Rhinolophus ferrumequinum: one gene and its partner. The protein of the gene in region 1 purifies or fractionates together with the protein of each later gene. This does not show direct contact. Links are inferred from orthologs where the notes say so. Each region holds a gene or a part of one and is shown on either strand. Other genes may lie near its edges.

Evidence for each region.
Region 2: the proteins of RIOK1 (region 1) and COPRS purify together in Homo sapiens (affinity purification with mass spectrometry; 3 studies listed by BioGRID and IntAct, with this or other methods). This does not show direct contact. The link is inferred for Rhinolophus ferrumequinum from reciprocal best matches to the Homo sapiens genes RIOK1 and COPRS.

What each region holds. Positions count from the first base shown.
Region 1 is NC_046292.1:86,548,879-86,559,941, reverse strand, and holds the start of RIOK1 (serine/threonine-protein kinase RIO1), read left to right. Parts: upstream 1-6,744; 5' UTR 6,745-6,961; coding exon 6,962-7,032; intron 7,033-10,047; coding exon 10,048-10,261; intron 10,262-11,063. UniProt on the Homo sapiens protein: Involved in the final steps of cytoplasmic maturation of the 40S ribosomal subunit. Involved in processing of 18S-E pre-rRNA to the mature 18S rRNA. Required for the recycling of NOB1 and PNO1 from the late 40S precursor.
Region 2 is NC_046304.1:20,363,538-20,373,460, reverse strand, and holds the start of COPRS (coordinator of PRMT5 and differentiation stimulator), read left to right. Parts: upstream 1-5,725; 5' UTR 5,726-5,847; coding exon 5,848-5,946; intron 5,947-8,306; coding exon 8,307-8,373; intron 8,374-9,923. Other genes in the region: UTP6 (U3 small nucleolar RNA-associated protein 6 homolog), read left to right, coding at 1,460-1,532, 2,298-2,455. UniProt on the Homo sapiens protein: Histone-binding protein required for histone H4 methyltransferase activity of PRMT5.

The DNA of each region.
Region 1 (11,063 bases):
ATAACTGTTTCAAAATACACATATGTAAACTGAAAGAAAAATATCACATCTTATTACATTCTTAACTAAACTTACTACTTGAATGTACTGTTGGGCACTGCATGTCTCAAACCTTGGAGTCAGATTGGGCAAAGCCAACCCTCACTTCCTGTTCAACTTGCTTTTTATCACAGCATCATCCCAAACCCCAGCTTTGCAAATAAGATGTTATAGAAAGGATTGTAGTATGATTTTATATTGAAATAGTGAACTATCTCAAGCTAGTAGTGTGTGGGGATCCAACAGACATCCAGTACCACTGTTTCCTTCAAATTCCAAAATATCCCGCAGCACCCTGGGCAAATTGTGGATACACACTATTGTTCTGTTTCAAAATGTTATGTATATAGCATCATTATGTATATATATACGTGTATATACTGGGGGTGCCAAAAAATGTATATGCATGACTTGTATTCATCTTTTGTTACCAGTGTATATTGAGTATTACAGTTTTAATAGTTTTTTTTCCTTAAAATGTGTATACATTTTTTGGCACCCTCTGTATAAACATATACATGTACAATTTTATCTCTCTGTTTAATCTATATACAGAACATAAATGAAAAATTAGACTCAGAGGAAGGAGAAATATTAATAAATTAAGATATGCAGAGACGCCATCTCACTGGCAGAAAGTAGTAATGATTTGAAATGACTTCTGATGAAAGTGAAAGAAGTGCCAAAAAACTGCACTTGAACATTGAGAAGACAAAAATCATGAAGAAATACACAACTTTAACATAGACAATGAAGATGTCGGAATTGCTGTTAAAGATTTTGCTTATCTTGGTTCAGACATCAATTCAAACGGAGACTGAAGCCATGAAATCAAAAGAAAGCTGAGTCTTGAAGAGCAGCAATAGAATTAGGAAAGATCGCCAAGAGCAAAGATGTGTCATTAAGAGACCAAGGCTAAGATCGTCTACACGCTTGTATTCCCAACTTCTATGACCACATGCAAAAGCTGGACACTGTAGGCTGCATACAATAAAATACTTCATGTAAGTTTTCTTAAAAAAAGAATTTTTATCTAGGCTCTGGGTACATATCTATAAGTGTAGTCCTGGGTTATAGAAAATACATTATCTTTAACTTGACTAGATACTGCAAAATGATTGACTAGATACCTCCAAAGTGATTATACCAATTTATACTAATACCAGAGGCATAAGAGTTCCTTTGCTCTACATCCCTCCAACACATCAAACTGCTATATATGAAATGGCATTTTGTGGTATTTTTAATGTACATCCTTTCAGGTATTTAATGGTCTGGCAGGTTTCCTTTTCTTTTCTGCCTCTTAGACACTATTATGGATTGAATTGTGTTTCCTCAAAATTCACAAGTTGAAGGCTTAACCCCCAGTATCTTGAAACGTGACTGTAGTTGGAGATAGGGCCTTTCAGGAGGCAATTAAGGTTAGATGAGATCGTAAGGGTCAGGCCCAATGCACTATGACTGGTGTCCTTACAGGAAGAAGAGACACCAAGGAGGCAGAGAAACAGCCACGTGGACACAAGACGGCAGCATGTGAGAGGCCTCAGGAGAAACCAGTCAACTCTGAGGGCACCTTGATCTTGGACTTCCAGCCTCAAAAACTGTGAGAATATAAATTTGAATTGTTGAAGCCACCCAGTGTATGGTATTTCTTCACAGCAGCTCTAGCAAACTAATACATATATGTGTTTTTCTATTGTGTTATATGTATCTTTTTCTTATTGGAGTTCTTTATTTTGGATACTAATCCTTTGTTAATACGTGATATGTATCTTAGATTGTGGCTTGTTTTTTTACTTTGTTGATTATAATTTGATCACAGAAGTTTTTATTTTATTTTAATATAGTCAAATGTGTTGATTATAGTTTCTAGTTCTTGTTACTCCGAGCCTCACTTTTTTCATCTTTAAAATGGAGGTTAAAATAGCCCTTGTTTACAAAGGAAAAAAAGCTCTATTTCATGGGATTGTTTGTGGCTTAAAAGTAATAATGTGTATAAAATGCTTATCACAGTACGTGGCCATCATCATCATCATCATCATCATCACAAGATATAAAAAAAGTCTCAGTTTCTCTGTATGTTGCTAACAAAGAGGTAGATACTCACCACCTAACAGATCATCTAGTGTGCTATAAATTTCTTTGGAAAGTGTCAGTTTGGACTCATTTTCCCTTTTTATATTCTTTACTTCATTCTGTATTTATAATCAAATGGACATTAATATTAATTCCTCAAACAAACATCATAAGCCTCTTGTAAAGGTGTATGTACATTGCTATGCAATTTTTATTAGTATTTTTTGTTGCATGGGTAGAATGTGCTTCCTGCTATCTCTCCCCACTGTATATCTGACTTTCCCTTATTAAATAAGTGTCTTGCTATTTTAATATTCTGGTTTTTTTGGTAAGTCAAATCATGTTCCTATAAACATAGGGGTATGTGATAACCTACGTATCTCTTACTGACAATTCTTTGATGTTCGTTAAATCTGCTCTATACAACATTAGGGTAGTTGTTATTCATCTTTTAACATTGAAGATATATGAAACAGGATTCTAGTAATGGGGTGAAATCTAATTCTTATAAATATAAATATATAAAAATTCATGTAGGGTTTATTCTCAAAGTTAACTTCATGTAATCTAAGATGAAAGGGCTTATTAAGTAAATTAATAGTATAAATAAGACAGTAAGAAAAATATTTTAGATGTTTAAAGAAAACATTGGTTTAATCATGAGTAGTATACCAAATATGTGGACCTAAATGATACTCTAAAAAAGTTCATATCTCTCAGTAAAGTCAGCTGGTTACAAACCTCTATTCAATATGCTTTTTATAGCATTGTTCCACTTATTGAATGTATCTGAAGTACAGTAAGAACTGAATTATATTTTATAGCAATCTGTCTTTTAGACTTGTTGCTAATTCAGACCATTCCTCTCCTAATTAGATTTTAAAGCATCAAGAATAATATACTTGAAAAATAAAATAGCACTATTCACATGCATTGATGTTTAGACAGACTTCTGACTCCACTAATCATCAAATTTCAGAGATCACTTCTAACTCTAGTCTTCTATAACATTACTGTGTTTAACTGAAATATGCCTTTTGTTTCTTAGGTCTATAAATTTTTTATAAAGAATAAAATGGTCAGTGAAATCCAAGAGGGAGGACCTCCTTACGTAAATAATTTAAGACATTCATTCTTTATAATTCAGTACATAGTATCTTGGGCCCTGATTAACCTCATAATACTATGACCAAAATATTTTTTCAAAATGAAAAGTTTTTTATAATTATAAAAATGAATCTTGAACATTGTTTAAAAAAGAAAGTGAAAAACACTCAAAAGTCTTCTGCCTAGTGAGAAGCAATGTGACCATATTTCCAGGTCAACAAATATGTATCTGTATTATCATATTTAAGGTTTACATATCCACTGTACATATATACGATAATTTAACTAGTCCCCTACTGATGAAAATTTAGGTTGTTTCCAATGTTAGCTGTGAATTATTCTGCAAATATCTCACTTGTATACTTCCTGGGGCAAAATTAACAACAAAATGTGCAGTTAAGCTCTGGATTTCCTAGCATTAAACAGCCTTTTAGAAAGATTATGTGAATTTATGGGCTGAACCACATGAATTGTCAATATTTGTCTGGTTTTGAACTACAAAAAGGTAATTTTATGTGGCAAACCTAATAGATTCCTATTATTTCCCTACACTCTTGCTTAATAATTGTCAAATATTTAGAATGACATTCATGAAGATCCTGGGACATAAAAATCTCTTTTATTTTGTGACAAACAGCACTAGGAATTTTCATGCAGACAGGAAGTCATTTACATGGCACTGTCAATGTCATTATGAACATGTGAATCATTTGCATGCTGACATAGTGGAAAATGCTCTAGACCAGATGTCAGGCTCCTTGGGTTCTTGTCCTGACTCTGTGACTGAGTTGTTGCGGCAATGTCCCCTGGCTGTACTCATGGGACTTCACGAAGAGACTAGGAAGGGTCAGTTTTAATACTCTCTGTATGTAAAATTCTCACCCTTCTTTGTATACTAGTGGAACTGGGAAAACCAGACCCTGTGTTCCCGTCTTCTATGCTTCCGTTAGAGATTCTTTCATTGTTCCTAGTAATTTTGAAGACATTTCATATGGAAAACAATGTGAATGCTAAATACGTCTGTACCTCCCAGAACTTTTAAGTACTGCACACCTGAGGCAAGTCTCAAGTAGTACTGCTGGCTTCCATTTAGAAGGGAGAATTTGAGTGAGTTAAGTCTTGAGAAAGACTTCTGAATTCATGGCATCTGCTTCTGCCATGCTTTCTAATTTTTATGAAAAGCATCCACTTCAAAATGTACAGTATTGTATCTGAAGTGATGACCAAACTTTCTGATAGTCCTTGCTCCTAACTGTTGAGTGATGGAAGGTCTCTTTAAAAAACATAATTTTAATGTCTATTAGTATATGCAAACAGAAAACTCCCCCCCCACCCCCATCCTTCCTCACATTAAGAAAGCAGCAAAGTTCACTGTCCTAAATTTTAAAATGTCATTTGTCAAGTTATTGGAAAAATAAAAAATTTTAGCCTGAATATACCATGGTAACTTTGTATGGTAGTAATACTAATTCGGACAAAAGCAAATCAATATGTGTGGCTACTATCCAATAATTAACCTAAAAGATGTGGGTACTGAGGAGATGAAGGGATCTCTAAGTTACTTAATCAAAAAATATTCACAAAATATTACCAGATACCTACCATTAGGTTCCATCAACACTGTATTTCTATTTACTTGACAATCGCTATTAGAATACCTCATTATCAAGTTAAATCCAACAATGTAAATTAATTTTCCCTCACCTCCTAATGCCACATTCTCTCAGGCACTCGGGTTTCAAAACCTGGCGTCCTTCTATCTCATTATCCATGAGCTATTCAGTTACCAATTCCTGTCCATTTCTCTTTTAAAAATGTTTTTATAACTCATGCTTTCTTCCCATCCCTTATGTCAACACACTGGTCCATATTCTTGTGACCCCTCAAGTCTGTCAGGGGGATCGAGGTGGATAGGATGTCCAATCACGCTGACTTCAAATTCTTCTGCTTGACTTTCTAGGTCTTCCGTAGCCTGAACCCACATTACCTACCCAGTACTCCTGCTCAGCCTCACTTCTTTGCAAATAGATCGTGTTCCTTTTCGGTAGTCTGCCCTGGCAAGTGCTTCTCTCTCCTAAAACTTCTTTACCTACCCAATCATCTATTTTTTTAAAAGTTCCTACAAGGTCTTTAGTCTAAATCTCTATCTCACAATTCAGCACCTATTCATTTTACTGTTTTAATCTTCACCATTGTTTCAAGGGTATCAGTGTTTGTATTTACTGATTATACATACTTTGAGAAGTCCACTTATGGTTTTTCCATACACCCTACATCAAACAGACCAGTGTTGTCCAGAGTATTCACTAAATCCTGCACTCCAATGAATTATTTCTATTAAACCATCTCAATCTAGTCACTACCCATTTGCCTGGATTACTTTATTGAATTATTAAATTAATAATTTACTGAGGAATTTTTTTTTTCCAAATTTATGTCATCCTCAATATTAAAAAGCCACTGAGCTAAGCAGGCTATTCAGGATTGGAGATTGGCCCAACTTTATGCTTACCTTCTCCGTTTTCCAAACACATAAATGCTGTCTGTGTTGTGGTGATGGGGATCTGAAAAATCCTTGTTTTGCCTTTTCCAAATGCAAAAAACGCAAGGGCCTTATTTCTTAAATTTGCCTGTGAACCCAGAACTTCCAACTACACTTTTACAACTTTGTTCACACGGCCCCATCTGCCAGTTGTATATTTTTTTAAGTTAGGCTTACTGTTGCCATCTTTCATTCTGCCCTTACGAGATTTATATTAGATTTTTAAAATATTTATTGAAATGTTTCGAGAGATATTCCAGAGACACTCTAAAGCTGTTTTAAGATGGGTGTTAAAAGAGGTGTCCCTGGAGTTACTGGCCAAAACTCCAAGGTTTTGTTTTTAAATTCTTTTCAGTTGTATGACAAACTTCAATATTCTAAAAGCACTTAACTCATTTTCATCTCAAAACAATGCACCAAACTCTTTAAGTCGCAAAAGCGTGCTCACTTCCAGGGTCCATGCAGTTTCGTGGATCCACAATAAGGATTTCGTGCTTCCTCCCCGCGCAATAGGTTTTGTGGGAGGGAGAACACTTTTCAACCTTTTCCACGGATGGCTCTTAAAAACTCGCAGCTGGGATGCAGGCGCGCTGGAACGTCCCAGTGTGACGTCCGCCCGCCCGCGCCAGCCAATGTCGGCGGGGAAGCCTGCGGGGCTCCCGCGCTCCCCGCGGGCGCGGCCTAGGGGCTTCGAAGTCTCTCTGCCAGATTTGGGAAATTCTGTGGGTGTGAGCCCCCAGGCCAAACAATCTGTGGGCTGGCTGGCGCGTCCTTCTGCGGCAGGAAACACAAAGCGAGGTGCAGGAACTAAAACTCCAGATGGAACGGCCGGCGCTGGCTCAGCGAGAACAGCATCTCAAGGCCGCCTAACATTTCGATGTATCGCTGTCACGTACACTTCCGCGCAAGCTCCAAGCTCTCAACCCGGCACCGGGGCGGGACTTCCGGTAGGCCAAGCTTTCCGGTAGGGGCGGGGCCTCCGGTTGAGCGCAGGCCACAGTGCAAAGGCTGTGGATCCTAATTCCTCAAAGCACGTGGCGCTCACTTTTGGTGTGAGGGCTTCTGAGTGGTTTGCGAGGCGGCCATCTGCGGAGAGGCTGTTGGGTCGGCCGCACATAGAACCGTCTCTGTGCGGTTCCTGACCCATCGCTGGGCGGGCGGGCGGCCTTCGGTGGCGCTGAAACTGCGCTCTCGGTCATGGACTACCGGCGGCTGCTGATGAGTCGGGTAGTGCCCGGGCAGTTCGACGACGCGGATTCCTCCGACAGGTAGACGGCGGTGGAGTACACCGACTTTGTTGGGATTTTGCTCTCTCTTCCGCCACCGCTCCGTCGGGGAGTTAACACTTGTTTGTGGTTTAGGGGGAGACTGGTAATTCATCACTCGGGGCCTCTTTTTACAGCGTTTTGCGTCTTCGTCCATCCCAGCAGTGACTGTCGTCCCAGTTTACGGCAATCAATGACAGCCACTTGTCAAGGTAGTCCAGGGCTCCCAGGTTGGTTGGTTAGCATCGCTGAGAGGCAGAGATGGGGATAGCGATTGGGAAACAGGTTTTTGAGCTTTAATTACATTCAGTGTTCAAAAAATATGTGAGCACCTAATGTGTGCCAGGTTCTGCCCTCGGCGCTGGAGCTAGTGATGAACAAGACAAACTAAGTCCCTACTGTCATTGAATTTTACTTTCTACTTGGGAGGGTGGGTAGGCAATTGAGTACATAGCGGTATTTAAAAAACAAAAACCAGATAATAATATATACTGTGCAGATAATTAAAATCAGTTGATAGGCCAAGTTATGATTTGGTCAGGAAGGGGTTAAGTCCAGAACTGAACAAGAATAATGGGCTAACCTAGGGAAGAGCAGAGAGAAGAGCCATTCAGGAAGAGGGGACAGCACTTGCAAAGTCCCAGCAGTGAGATCCCTCTTGGCTGTAAAAGGAAGATTTAGAGGTAATTGTGCCTAGAGCACTGCAGAGGTACTTGAGAAGATTAGTGGGTAAACAATATATAAGTGAGAAGGGGCCAGATCGTATAGAGCCTTACAAATGATGGTAAGGAACTGAGATATTATTCTAGGTCTTATAGAAAGCCATAGGAAGGATTTTAGCAGGGAAATGACATCTGATTTACGATTTAAAGGAATTACTCTGCTATGGAGAGGATGGTTTTGGAGGGCAAGAGTGGAAGCCGTTCAAAAGTAATGAAGTAATTCAGTTCAAAGATGGTGAGAGTTAGAGATAGGACCATAGGGATATGTTTTGGAGGTAGAAGTGACAGTTTGGTGGTAGATTGCATGTGAGGTATGAAACAAAAGGAATTAAGGATAACTTTTACTTGAAAGCAGAATGAACCAGAATTATTTTGGAATTCCCCCCCCCCAAAAAAAATACGGTTTTTACTTTATGTTTACATTAAGGTTTCATTACATGGCCATTTTATTAAGCAATTGGAGATTTTTAGTAAATATATGTTGATGGCTTTCGATGTGTCAGATATAGTGTTAGTTGGTAGGGATATGTTAGTAAACCACTCTGACACAGAGATTCGCTCTAGCAGGGGAAACATATTAAATAATTAGACAAATGATTTGTATTAGAAAGTAGTACAAAGGAGAAGTGGGTGAAGAATAGGGTAGACTTCCCTGAGCAAGTGATAGTAAGCTAATACTGGAAGGATAAGTAGGATTTAGTCAGAGAAATGAGAAGGGCATTCCAGATTTATGTTTACAGCTGAGTATGCAAAAGACCTTAGGGAAGAAGTTAAGGGAAAAAAGAAACAGCCTATGTGACTGGTGCATAGTTAATGGTAATGAGTGTACACTGGTTTATTATCCATCACTGGATATTATAAAGGTAATCCAATAGATGTTGCCTCCGCCCTCGCCCCCCACCCCCACCCCGGCCTTGGGACTTTGGGCAATTTCTGGAGACATTTTTGTTTGTCACAACTGGGGATGGTAATACACTAGTGGCATCTGGTAGGTGGAGGCTAGAGATGCTGCTAAAAATCCTATAAGGTACAAGACAACCTCCCACAACAAAGAATTGTCCACCGAGGTTGAGAAGCCCTAGTACAATTGAAGGCATAACTTTAACATGCCACTCTAGGTTATTGGCAAATGAATGATCAATTTATGGATTATGTTTATAAAATCCTAGTAAATAGCAGCTGCCTAATGTTTGTTCTCTTCCCACCCATGTCCATGGAGATTTGGAGTCCTGTAAGCCATGGCTAATTAATAAGTCAGGATTGGGGCGCCGGTTAGCTCAGTTGGTTAGAACGCGGTGCTCTTAACAACAAGGTTGCGGGTTCCATCCCTACATGGGCCTTTGTAAGCTGCGCCCTCCACAACTAGATTGAAACAACTACTTGACTTGGAACTGATGGGTCCTGGAAAAACACACTTAAAAAAAAAATTCAGGATTGATCATCTGAATTTACTTAGACTCACATCTGACTTTTTAAGCTGGTAGTGCATATTATCAATTGTTTTATATGGTTTCTGACCTTGTTCTCCATATGAGAGGTCAAAACTAGTAGTACCTCTGTTGAATCTGACCTGCACACATATTTCGTTTGGCATGCACAGTATTTTGTTAAAATTGAATATGCCAGTTAACGGGGAGATTTCACACAAAAATCCAGATTTCTGGCTCTTGAAAAACTAAGAAGATATGGTAACACTGGGTCTGAATTCTCATATGGCAAAAACAGACCCTATCGTGCTCTCTCTACTTGGGGCTTGTCTCTAGGTTTGACAATCCCCACTTCTGTTTAATTATACCCAGCCTACTTCTCTCATTCGTGGTGCTTATAGTCACCATTCCTTGTGTAACACAAATCTATAATAGAGCTCCTTTTGTTGTAAAGTGGTGTTGAGTTCAAGGTAAGGCTGCTTTAGACTTATTCCCAAGTTTTGTCAGAAAATTTTTTTCCCCCTCTTAACACAGCTCTGAATGGTTTTCGTAGAGTCAGGTCTGGCGTACTGATCAGAGTTCAGTGCATTCAGCAGAGACAGTAACAATATAAATTCTGACTTCATGAATGCAGAGGTGGATTTAACCTGATACACCTCTTTAACAGGACCTGGAGAATAAGCAAACAACAAGTGGAACAACTCTGAAAAACAGGAGAACTTGGTGTTATGATGGAGTTTATTGGGAGATATGTTGAAAGGGAAACGTTTAGATTTATTGGCATAGATTAAGCTATTATGTCATAAATAAATTCATACGTAAGTCCAATTAGAGTATGTATAAACACACTAAAACATTGTTATTTCTAGTGAAAACATTGACTTGAAGACAATCAAAGAGGAAGATGGTGTTCTGTTTGAAGATCTTCAAAATAATGAGAAGATGGGTGAAGGTGAGATAGAAGAGGAGGAGGAGGAGGAGGAGGAGGAAGAAGATTATGATGATGATGATGGTTGGGACTGGGATGATGGAGTTGGAAAACTCACCAAGGGTTGTATGTCGATTGGAAGGAGTAACCCACAGGTATTTTATAAATGATTCTGTACATCTTTATGTTGTTTGCTTATGTCTTCTTGTATAAAGGGACTTTTTGTAGTTCTGGAATTGAGTAACAAAGATTTTCTTCAGGTTATAAGTAAATTTTAAAAGTTACTTAAATTGTCATAAGATAATGCACTTAAAAATCTGCATATGAAAAGACACAAACAGGCAGTTTTCTACAAATGGTTAAGAAACATAGAGAAAAAGTTCAAGTTTATTAGTAATTAAAGAAATGCAGATTAACTATGTAGAGATGGATGCCATTTTTTCCGCCTCTGAAACTAACATAGACACAAAATATATAACTGATGGTTCACTAAATACATACAGTTATTTGGAGGATAAACTGGTATGTGATAAAAGCTTTAAAAGCTTACAAAATAAACACTTTGACTCAGCAAGTCTTTTAGGAGTGTACCAAGACTTAGTTACAAGAATGATCCTCCAGTATTGTTTCTAGTAGAGAAATGTTGGAAACAACGTTGACTAAATTTACCATGGGGTTGGTTTGTATAATGGGATATTATGCAGCCATAAAATGGGTTACAGTGGAAGACTATATTCATGACATGGAGATATGTTCATGATCTACCATCTTGGACCACGTGCTAAGCACAAGGTAACAAGCCATGTAGAGCCTGCTCGCACTGAAATACCAAGTGTTCCAGAGCCATAGGATTAACGTGGTGCATCTTACTGGAGCATAAATGTTGTTGAAAGGATAGGGAGGGGGAAGAAAATCATAAATGTTTCTTTGAAAATTAAAACAGCTATATTGTGGACT
Region 2 (9,923 bases), on another chromosome or scaffold:
GCTCCAGGTCCAGTTGCCGTTGCTAGTTGCAGGGGGCGCTGCCCACCATCCCTTGCGTGAGTTGAACTGGCAGCCTTGTGGTTGAGAGGACGTGCTCCAACCAACTGAGCCATCTGGGAGCTCAGCGGCAGCTTAGCTCGAGGTGCCGTGTTCAATCTTAGTTGCAGGGGGCTCTGCCCACCATCCCTTGCGGGACTTGAGGAATTGAACTGGCAACCTTGTGGTTGAGAGCCCACTGGCCCATGTGGGAATCGAACTGGCAGCCTTCGGAGTTAGGAGCTTGGAGCTCTAACCGCCTGAGCCACCGGGCCGGCCTATTTTGGTGTTTTGATTGCTGTTTATTTCTTTGAATTTTGAAAAACAAGAGCAGTTCAACTCTTATTTTCATAGTTTTGATCATTGAGTGGGTAAATTGTCTGTTCTTGTCCTAAAGTGTAAGAGATAGTATAACATAATAATTAATAGCCAGGCTTTGGATCGATAACATAATAGTTATGTGTCTTGGGTAACTGACTTCATTCTAAGCCTTGGCATCCTTATCTTATAAAGGAGGTCATTGTACCTTTTCAGGGGTGTGAGGGTTATAAGACCAAAGGGAATACTGGGTAGAAAGGAATTTGTAGTACAATGGGCATTATGAGTCTTAACAAGGTGTGATTCTGGTTTTCATGCATATGTAAGCTATGAGGTTAAATTCACTTCTATGAAATAATAGTCTTAGTGAAGAAAAATTTGAATGAGGAAACGGTTATTTGACTATATAAAAGTAATTTTAAACTGAAGATGTTAGTCTGCCTTGAAAAGGAAACAAAAGAATACATTTAAATGGAAGTAGAGGTAAAGAATGAACATTCATTGATTGTAAAGTTAATACCAGCTGTTATTGCCTAGGTGCATAATTAATCAGCATTTTAATTTAATCCTTGTAGTTACTCTGAGATGTCATCCTTGTGTTATGAGTAAGGACACTTAGAAGGTCAGAGGGTTTAAAAAATTTGCTGAAGGTCGTATAACTAGTATTTATAAACTTTGCCTTGATACAAAATGTTCTAAGGTGGACATAGCTAATATGTGCCAGAGCCCAGATAACTCAAAAGGAAGAAATCTCTAGCCATAGGGAGTAGAATCTTCCGCATTTATTTATTTCAATCCTACTTCACCCTCAGAGCTTTCAAACATACTTTCCCGTGAAGCTGCCCATGTTCCTCCAAGAATTTATTAGGCTTTTTCCATGCTACTGTAGCAAAGTGCTTTTTATCACTGTTTGACACTTACTTCACTCTGGAAGTAAATGCATATGACTTCTCTCTGGGTAAGTTGAAAGCCAGGCTGTGTTCATCTTAAGCCACAACCCTCCTCTCCTTAAAATACCTAATAGATGATAGCTGTTAACAGTGTGGTTGAAATGAATTTATGACATTATAAATTAGGCTTAAGATTGTCTGATTATTTTTGTTAGGAATCCTGCAAGATGGCAAACTTAAGAGAATATTATGAGAGGGCTTTGAGAGAGTTTGGATCTACAGATTCTGGTAAGTAAACTTCAGTTATAGACATATAAGTCTGTTTGCATGTGTGGTCTGGAACTTTTCAGTACGGTTAGAACAGCGTTTCTTTACTGGGTCATGGCCCTTTTTGAGAATAAAATTTGTATCCTCCTACCTCTTCCCTTACTTTGTGCATAAATAAATACTTGCAGATGTAATTTTGCTTATAATTTCAAGTTCATAAGCTCAAGAGTCCATGGGTCTTCTATTAAGAACGCTGGGTTAGAGAAAGATTTGCTTGATTTGGTTCTCTAAAAAATATGGTATTTGTCAGGGAAAGGTTAATAATGTAGGTCAGAACAAAGAGGAGTGGGAATTACAGCAAAGGATAGTGGGACGTTAATTGACATTAGTTGTCATTGGCTATTGTCACATTGTCCACATTTATAGGCCTTGTAAAACATACTTCTGGGCGTAGGTATGTCATGTAAAATCTGTTTACTTAGGCACTCAAAAACTGACATGTATTTGTTAAACTCATTTAAAAAACAGATCTGATGAAATGAATGAAAATGGCATTTTTACTAACCCAAGCAAATTTTGTTAAGCATGGTAACAAGGTTACGGTGAACTCATTTTGATATACTCCAGTGTAAGGAAGCTGAGAGCGGTATTGTTTCACAGTTTTCTGTGGAAATAAGTTCCTTAGAAATCTTGTGTTAAATCGATATTAAATAATTAATCTTACTTAATAAAGCCTTGTCAGTTATATATTATATGTCCACAGTAATTTTTTTGTTCCCTTTAAAGATCTTTGGATGGATTATATAAAAGAAGAATTGAACCACCCTCTTGGTAGACCTGAGAACTGCGGACAAATCTACTGGCGAGCCATGAAAATGTTGCAGGGAGAGTCAGCAGAGGTGTTTGTAGCTAAACATGCTATGCATCAAGCCGGCCATTTGTGAAAAGAGGAAGAACAAGCCAACTTTGTGAAATAGTGTTGTAAGCCTTCTGGGTAGATTGGTGTTAGGAGTTCATCTACAATTTGCTTAGAGATGGCAGACAAGAAGGCTCTCTGATTTTGAGACATGCTTTAATTTTGTTAATGCATTATTTTTTAATTCCAGAAGAGAATTGCTGTTCAGTGGCCAGAGGCTACTTGTTGGGGCTGGATCTACTATAGATCCTGAATGTTGTTCAAAATAATGTGGAAATCATACAACTGAAGTTTCTTTTATTATCCCCGGGTTAAGGATGAATATTTCTAGACCTAGGGGCCAGTTAAAATGGAGGAGAAAGTACAGTTCTGTTAGTTTATTCTTCCCTTATTATAAAAGTATGCATGGTATGCATTTGTTGTAGAAAATATGGTGGGAGTAGAATAAGGAGAAGAAAATAAAAGCATCCTGTAATATCATCTGGAGTTAAACTCAGTAATTTGATTTCCTTTATCAGAATTGGATTTATCCTGTTAGAACATTTACTCATTCATTCATTGAGTGCCCATCATAAGCAGGAAGGAAGGGAAGCTTTTTTGGATGGAGGTAGGGGTTAGAGGAACAGAGCTGAATGTCTCTAAAGCTGGTTGAAGGAGCAGAGAAGGATGCTGGGTATTGGGGAAAAAGTTCTTTAAGAAGATCAAGATGTTATACAGGTATCTTCTATCTCTGGGACTGATCTGCAAAGTAGTGTTTATAGTGGGCAGGACTGCCAACAAAAGAAGGGCAGGGATAGGGAGCATATTAGAGAAAGGCTTCAGAGCCCATGATGGAGGATGGCTTGAAGCACAGAAGGGCATTCTGGGAGTAGGGGAGGCAGTTATTTGAATTTTATATCCTTTAACATAATGTTATAATGTCACTGGGAGAAGCATTCAGTACAGTTTATTGATGTTTCGCTTAATATTAGGTTGGTGCAAAAGTAATTGCGGTTTTTGCAATTTTCCAACTTTTTAAACTACAGTTACTTTTGCACCAACCTAATATTATGTTATTTTTCCATGTCATTAAAGCCTTAAACACATTTAATGAATTTAGAACATTCCCTGTAAAATTCATAACATTCTGTGGTTGGACCTTGTTATTGGTTGGACCTTGTTATTTCTAATTTTTTCTTACTATAAATGCTGTTAATGATTTTTGTAAATCTTTGTTCACATCCCTGGTTATTTCTGTAGGAGACTGACATCTGACAAAATTGTTGGATTAAAGGATATAACTTTTTAAAAGAATATATATATTGCCAATTTGTAATGTATAAAAAGACTTTCAAGAAATGTATGAAAATGTCAACACCTTTACCTGCGGTGGATACTTTACACACACACACACACACACACACACACATTTTTTTTTAAATTTTTATTGGGGAGTATTGGGGAACAGTGTTTTTTTCCCAGGACCCATCAGCTCCAAGTCAAGTCATTGTCCTTCAGTCTAGTTGTGGAGGGCGCAACTCAACTCCAAGTCTAGTTGCTGTTTTTCAATCTAGTTGTGGGGGGTGCGCAGCCCACTGGCCCATGTGGGAATCCAACCGGCAACCTTGGTGAGAGCTCATGCTCTAACCAACAGCCATCCGGCTGCCCCGGATATTATATTTTTTATTTATGCCATTTTAATAGGTTAAAAGTGATACATCATTGTTTTAATGTGTATTTCTTTGGCATTAATGAAATTAATGTGGTTTTCCTGGTTCTCTTTTCATGTTTTGATTTTTTTAAAACTTGTTTCTTACTAATTTATAAGAGTTTTTTTTTTGGGGGGTGGGAATATTGGGGAATAGTGTGTTTCTCCAGGGCCCATCAGCTCCAAGTCCAGTCATCGTTTTCAATCTTAGTTGCAGAGGGCGCAGCCCACCATCCCATGTAGGAATTGAACCGGCAACCTTGGTGTTATGAGCACTGTGCTCTAACCACTGAACAAACCATCCATCCCATTATTTGATTTAAAATAAAAATAATTTCCTCTTTTCCCTCTCCTTTAAGTCCCAGGAAGTTTAACATGCTAAACCCTTACATGGCATTTTTATTTTAGGAAAGAGATACATGTTGCATACAAGAGGAGAGGGAAGGATGGTGGTTGGCTTCTTATAGCAAGGCTATGAAGGTGGGTCCCCTGGGTCCCATCTGTATCTGGTTCTCACTGTTGCAGGTTATGAAAAGGCATCTAGCTAGTTCACCTAGAGCTGTACTGTTAGTATGGTAGTTTCTAGTTATGTATGGCCATTTAAACTTACTAAAATTAGCTTGATTTTTCATTTATACTGGCCACATGTTTACCATATTGGACAGCACAGAAAAATAGAACTTTTATTCCCGCCATCACAGAAGATTCTGTTGGACATTGTTGACCTAGATAGGTCCAATTAGATTTGGTGAAACTGACTCATGGGTCAGAACAGCACACATCAATTGATCACATTCTCTTCTCTGTAGGAAAGTCTATACGTTGTGAAAAAGAAAACACATGTATTGTTACACTAAAATTTTTCAAATGCGTTATGCAGTTTACAAAATATACATTCTTGGAAGGAGATGAAGGACTAGGTAGGCTCTCTAATCTCCCATAGATTGTCATAAGGTGGCCTGGTGAGCAAAGGACTCCCAGCTTCCTCCAGCTTTTCTGCTACTTAAATGTGAAGGTGAGCACGTTCAGGAAGTGTGGGGAAAGGCAGTGAAGGCAGTCTCTGCCTGTCTTCTGCCACCTCCACAAAGGAGCTTTTTTCAGGTCGGACCACCGCGAGACTCGGAACGCCTAGGGTTATTAATGACTGCCATAACATACAGTGTCCAGCACATTGTAGAAATTTTGTTCCTATGTCCTGGTTTCTAATGGATTCACTAAGAACTATCGTTAACTTAAGGGGGAGAATCACTGGGCTACTGAGTTGTCTCATTCATCTGTGGGTGAGTTATAGTCCAATTCCAGCCTGAGTTCTAGGGAAGTTTGTGAGATCAAGAGTGAAATGTGGTTGGTGAGCTACAATTGCACTAAAAGTTTTGAGAGCTGAGCTTTATACACTATCATGTAGACTCGGGTAACAGGAATTGGAGGTTTTTAAGCTGCGAAGGGATAACACTTGACATTCCAGACCAAGCTAGTCCCGCCTTGCCTGCACTAGCTGGTGCTACAAAAATCAGATTTTGGACCAGTAGGTGGGCTTTCGCTGTCGGGCGCGCCCCGCCCCTCTTGCGGCGCCCCGCCCCCGGCTTCCTCGTGACCCCCCTAGTCCCGCCCCCCCCTCGTGCAGGAGCACCCCCCCGGCTGATTGGCCCCTCTGTGGCGTATCCTCGGGCTGGCAGCCAGGCGGGCGCGTCACGTGGCCGATCAGCGTCCAGGGCACCGAGCAGCGGCCGGGCATGGACCCTCAGACCGCCGGGGCCCAGGCGTTGGGGACCGCGGAGTTGCCTCGGGGTCCGCCGTTGCCGTACGCGCGGAAGGCGTTCCCCAGCTCAGGGGTGAGCGCCGCGCTGGGGCCCGGCGCAGCCACCACCTGCGGCCGGGTCGGGAAGCTGCAGGCGCCGCGGAGCCGGGGAAGCGCCTCGGGCCCGCTTGGGGCCGCCCCGTGAACGCAGAGCGCCGTTTGGGCGCGTGCTCTAGCTGGAAACCGCTGGGCCGAGGGGCCGCGGGGTGTGGGGATGCGGGGCGGGGCACCTCGAAGGCGTGGGTGGACGCGCCGGCCGGGGAAGGAAGGCTGCGGGTCCCCGGGGTCGCCTCTGCGTACTTGCCAAATGGGAGGTGATGCTGATGACCGAGAGCTGGGGGCCTGGACAGGGGCCAGGGGAGGGCGCGCGAGGAGAGCGACTTTCCCTGAAGGACCTGTGTCTACTGGTGAGGATGTTCAGCTGACCCTGAGCACCCGATGATGTCTCATGCGCGCTCCTTTTCTAGTTAATGAAACCCAAAGGCCGGGTTTGACGCAGGTTTTCCAGAAACTTGTTTTCATTTGCGCTCCAGAAGGCTCCTGGTTTTTTAAAGACCATTGTTACAGTCACCACCTGCCCTTATTTTCAGTCAGTAATCTGTTAGATGGTGAGCTCGTCGAGGGTAGGAACCTTCTGTTCACTGCTGTTGACAGGGCACCTAGCGTAGTGCCTGGCACGGTAGACATGCTTTTTGGCTGGAGGAATGGCGTGCTTGTTGAAGCACCAAAGATACTACCTAACCAAAGTAAGAAGGAAAAAATGGAGTGATAGACTTACAAAGAAAGTTACTTTGGCGTGCAGATAGGATGAGCCTCGTTTTGTCAGGGCATAGCAGAAAAGTATGTGCACTACCTCTCCAAGGTGAGAGGGTGGTGGTGCTTGCAGAGGCCCGGAGATGTGGGAGTGCATGGCAAATGCTTGGGGACTTGGGCCTCAGAGCTTGGAGAGAGAAAGATGCTCAACAGGTTGATGATGGCTTGTGAGGGGGATGTGTGAATGCCATGGCTAATTCTGTACTCCTGCAGTGGAGCTGAAGGTTTTTGAGGCGAGCAGTGATTAACACTGGAAGGCTGGGCAGGGTGGGAGAGTGGGGAGACAGTTAGAGGTCTCAGGCAGTGGTCAAAGTGAGAGGTCCTGCAGTAGTGACCAGCGCTTGTCACTGACTACAGGAGGTGGAATCGACACTTTAAATGCAGGTATGACTTGGGGGCAGCCTGTTAGCTCAGTCGGTTAGAGTGCGATGCTCTTAACAACAAGGTTGCTGGTTCGATCCCCACCTGGGCCACTGTGAGCTGCACCCTCCACAACTAGATTGAAACAACTACTTGACTTGGAGCTGATGGGTCCTGGAAAAACACCCTTACATAAATAAAAGTTAGAAAAAAAAATCCAGGTATGACTAAACCATAAGCTAACTGGGGCCGGTGCCAAGTGCAGTATAGATGTAGCAACAAAGAAGGTGGATTTAAATTCAATGGTGCTAATGTTTTCATAAATGTTATCTCATCATAAGCCCCCTGCAAGGTCAAAACAGTCATTCTCAATTTCCAGAGAGGGAAACCCAGACACAGTGGTTGAAGTTCAAGGTCACACCCTGAATGAATGGCAGAGCTGGAATTGAAATCAGGTCTTTTCATGCAGGCTGTGGACATTCCTTGTTCCGTTTAGGAAGAGGTCTTACAGGTGATAGGATTTCAGGAACTTTTGAGTGATGAGAGCAGGGAAGCATATGGTTCGCTGTGGGGGAAGAAGATTTCCCTCATCGTCGCAGAGGAACTAAACCTCTGTTCCTCCCAGTGTATCAGCCAGGAGACAGAATTGGACAGAAAGAGCTGTTAGCTAGCTAAGAAGTTGTTAAGTAACTGACAAGTTAAAAAGTGAACATGGAGTAGGAACGGGCAAGAAACAGCTACCAACCCTAAGGAACCAAGGGATGAGGTTGGAATGGTTCAAATTTACATGCTTAGAGGAGCGGCTTTGGGGAGCTGAAATTCCACTCTCTGAGGAGAGGGCGCTGTCCAAGCTCTGAGCCTGGAGGAGGGGTCCTGAGAGCCTGGGCGTCAGACCTCTGAAGAGAGGGCTGGATGATGAGGCTGGCCCTGCAAGCTTTGGCAAACTGTAAGCTGGGTTCAGCAGCCGCTATGGGAAGACGCGCCAGCTGCCAGGGTGAAGTGTCGCTGGGGTAATGCCTGCAGGAACAGGAGGGAGCCAAGGCCCTTCTCCCGCTAGCTTCGCTGACTTCATAGGACAAAGCACAAATACGGGTTGCAGGGTCCCAGCCCCACTCAAATAGGGGGAGTATGGAAGGGTGGGGTTGCGTCTGAGAACCTAGAGCTTAATACTGGACTACCCCAGACATCCAAGTCCTGGGTAATTGTTTTTTCTTCCCGCAGGTTCGCTTTGCCCCAGACGACCACTCCGGTCAGGACAGCGAGATTGAGAAGGCCCCAGATGGACTAGGCAAGTAGATGGCAGAGACTGGGGTGGATGCCGGAAGAGACTGAGGGAGCGACAGGGACAGTTCCTATGTGTCTTGTCACCTTCTCTTCTAGCGAGTCCTCCTCTTCGCTGCCGCATTGCCTTTTCTGCCTAGGGTTTCAACAGTGCCCTTGTTTGGAAGCCCTACTGGAGCATCCCTAAGGGAAGTCCTGACCTTAGGTCCAAACCCGTCCTGTCTATGGAGAAAGACAGCTTAGGACAGCGGGAAGAATATAAGCTTTGGAGCCAGGCAAAATTGTTTTCACTGTCAGCTCCACGTCAAAGTCCTGGGCTCGAATCTTGTGGTCTTAGATGAATCACTTAATCCTTTCTTTAAAATGGGGATAATCATATTACCTCTCAGAGGTAATTGGTGAGAAGGATTTGGTGAGAGGATTTGGTGAGAGGATTTTGTTCTGAGGATTTGGTGAGAAGATGTAGAACTGTAATTGCCACTAGCTACTGGTGCTATTTAAATTTAAGTTAATTACAATAAAATGAAATGAAACAATTCAGATCCTGTTGCAGTAGCCATACGTCAAATGCTCGGCAGTTACACATGGCTAATGCTAGCCTGCCAGACAGCAGAGATGATAGAAAGTTCTGTTGGGTAGTACTGGCCTAGAGAAAGCACCAAGCACGTAAGTATAGTCATGACAACTAACACTTACTGAGTACTCACTCTGTGCCAGGCACAATTCTAAGTGTTTATTTTCCTTTTTTTTTTTTTTTAAAAAAAACAAACAAACTCAACAATACTGCCTCCATTTTACAGATGTGGAAACTAAGGCACTGAGTAAATTTCAAAAAAATTTGTGGTAAAAGACACATACAATTTGCCACTTAATGATTTTAAAGCATACAGTTCAGTGGCATTTAGCACAGTTACAATTGTGCTGTATAACCACCACCACTTTTATTTAGTTCCAGAACATTTTCATCACCCCAAAAGGAACCCTTGTGCCCTGTAAGTAGTCACACTCCATTCCCCACTTCCTTGTGGCCCTGGTGACCACTACTCTGCTTTCTGTCTCTATGGGTTTACCTATGCTGGACAGGCAAATGTGAGTTGCATATAAATGGAATCATACGCCATGTGGCCTTCTGTGTCTGGCTTCTTTCACTCAGTATATTTTCAAGGTTCGTTCATGTAGCATGTATCAATGCAGGCATACCCTGCAGATATTGTGGGTTCGGTTCCAGGCCACCATAATAAAGCAAGTATCCCAATAAAGCAAGTCATAACCTTTTTGCTGATGGAGGGTCTTGCCTTCAGTTTGCAAAAGAAAACCCCACAACATCTGTGAAGTGCAATAAAACGAAGCATGCCTATACTTCATTCCTTTTTTATGGCTGAATAATTCTGTCATGTATATATCACATTTTGCTTATTACCCATTCATCGGTTCATCGGCATTTGGGTGGTTTTCATCTTTTGGTGATTGTGAATAGTGCTGCTGTGAACATTTTTGTACAAGTTTTGTTTGAACACCTGTTTCCAATTCTTTTGGGTATACATTTAGGAGTGGGTT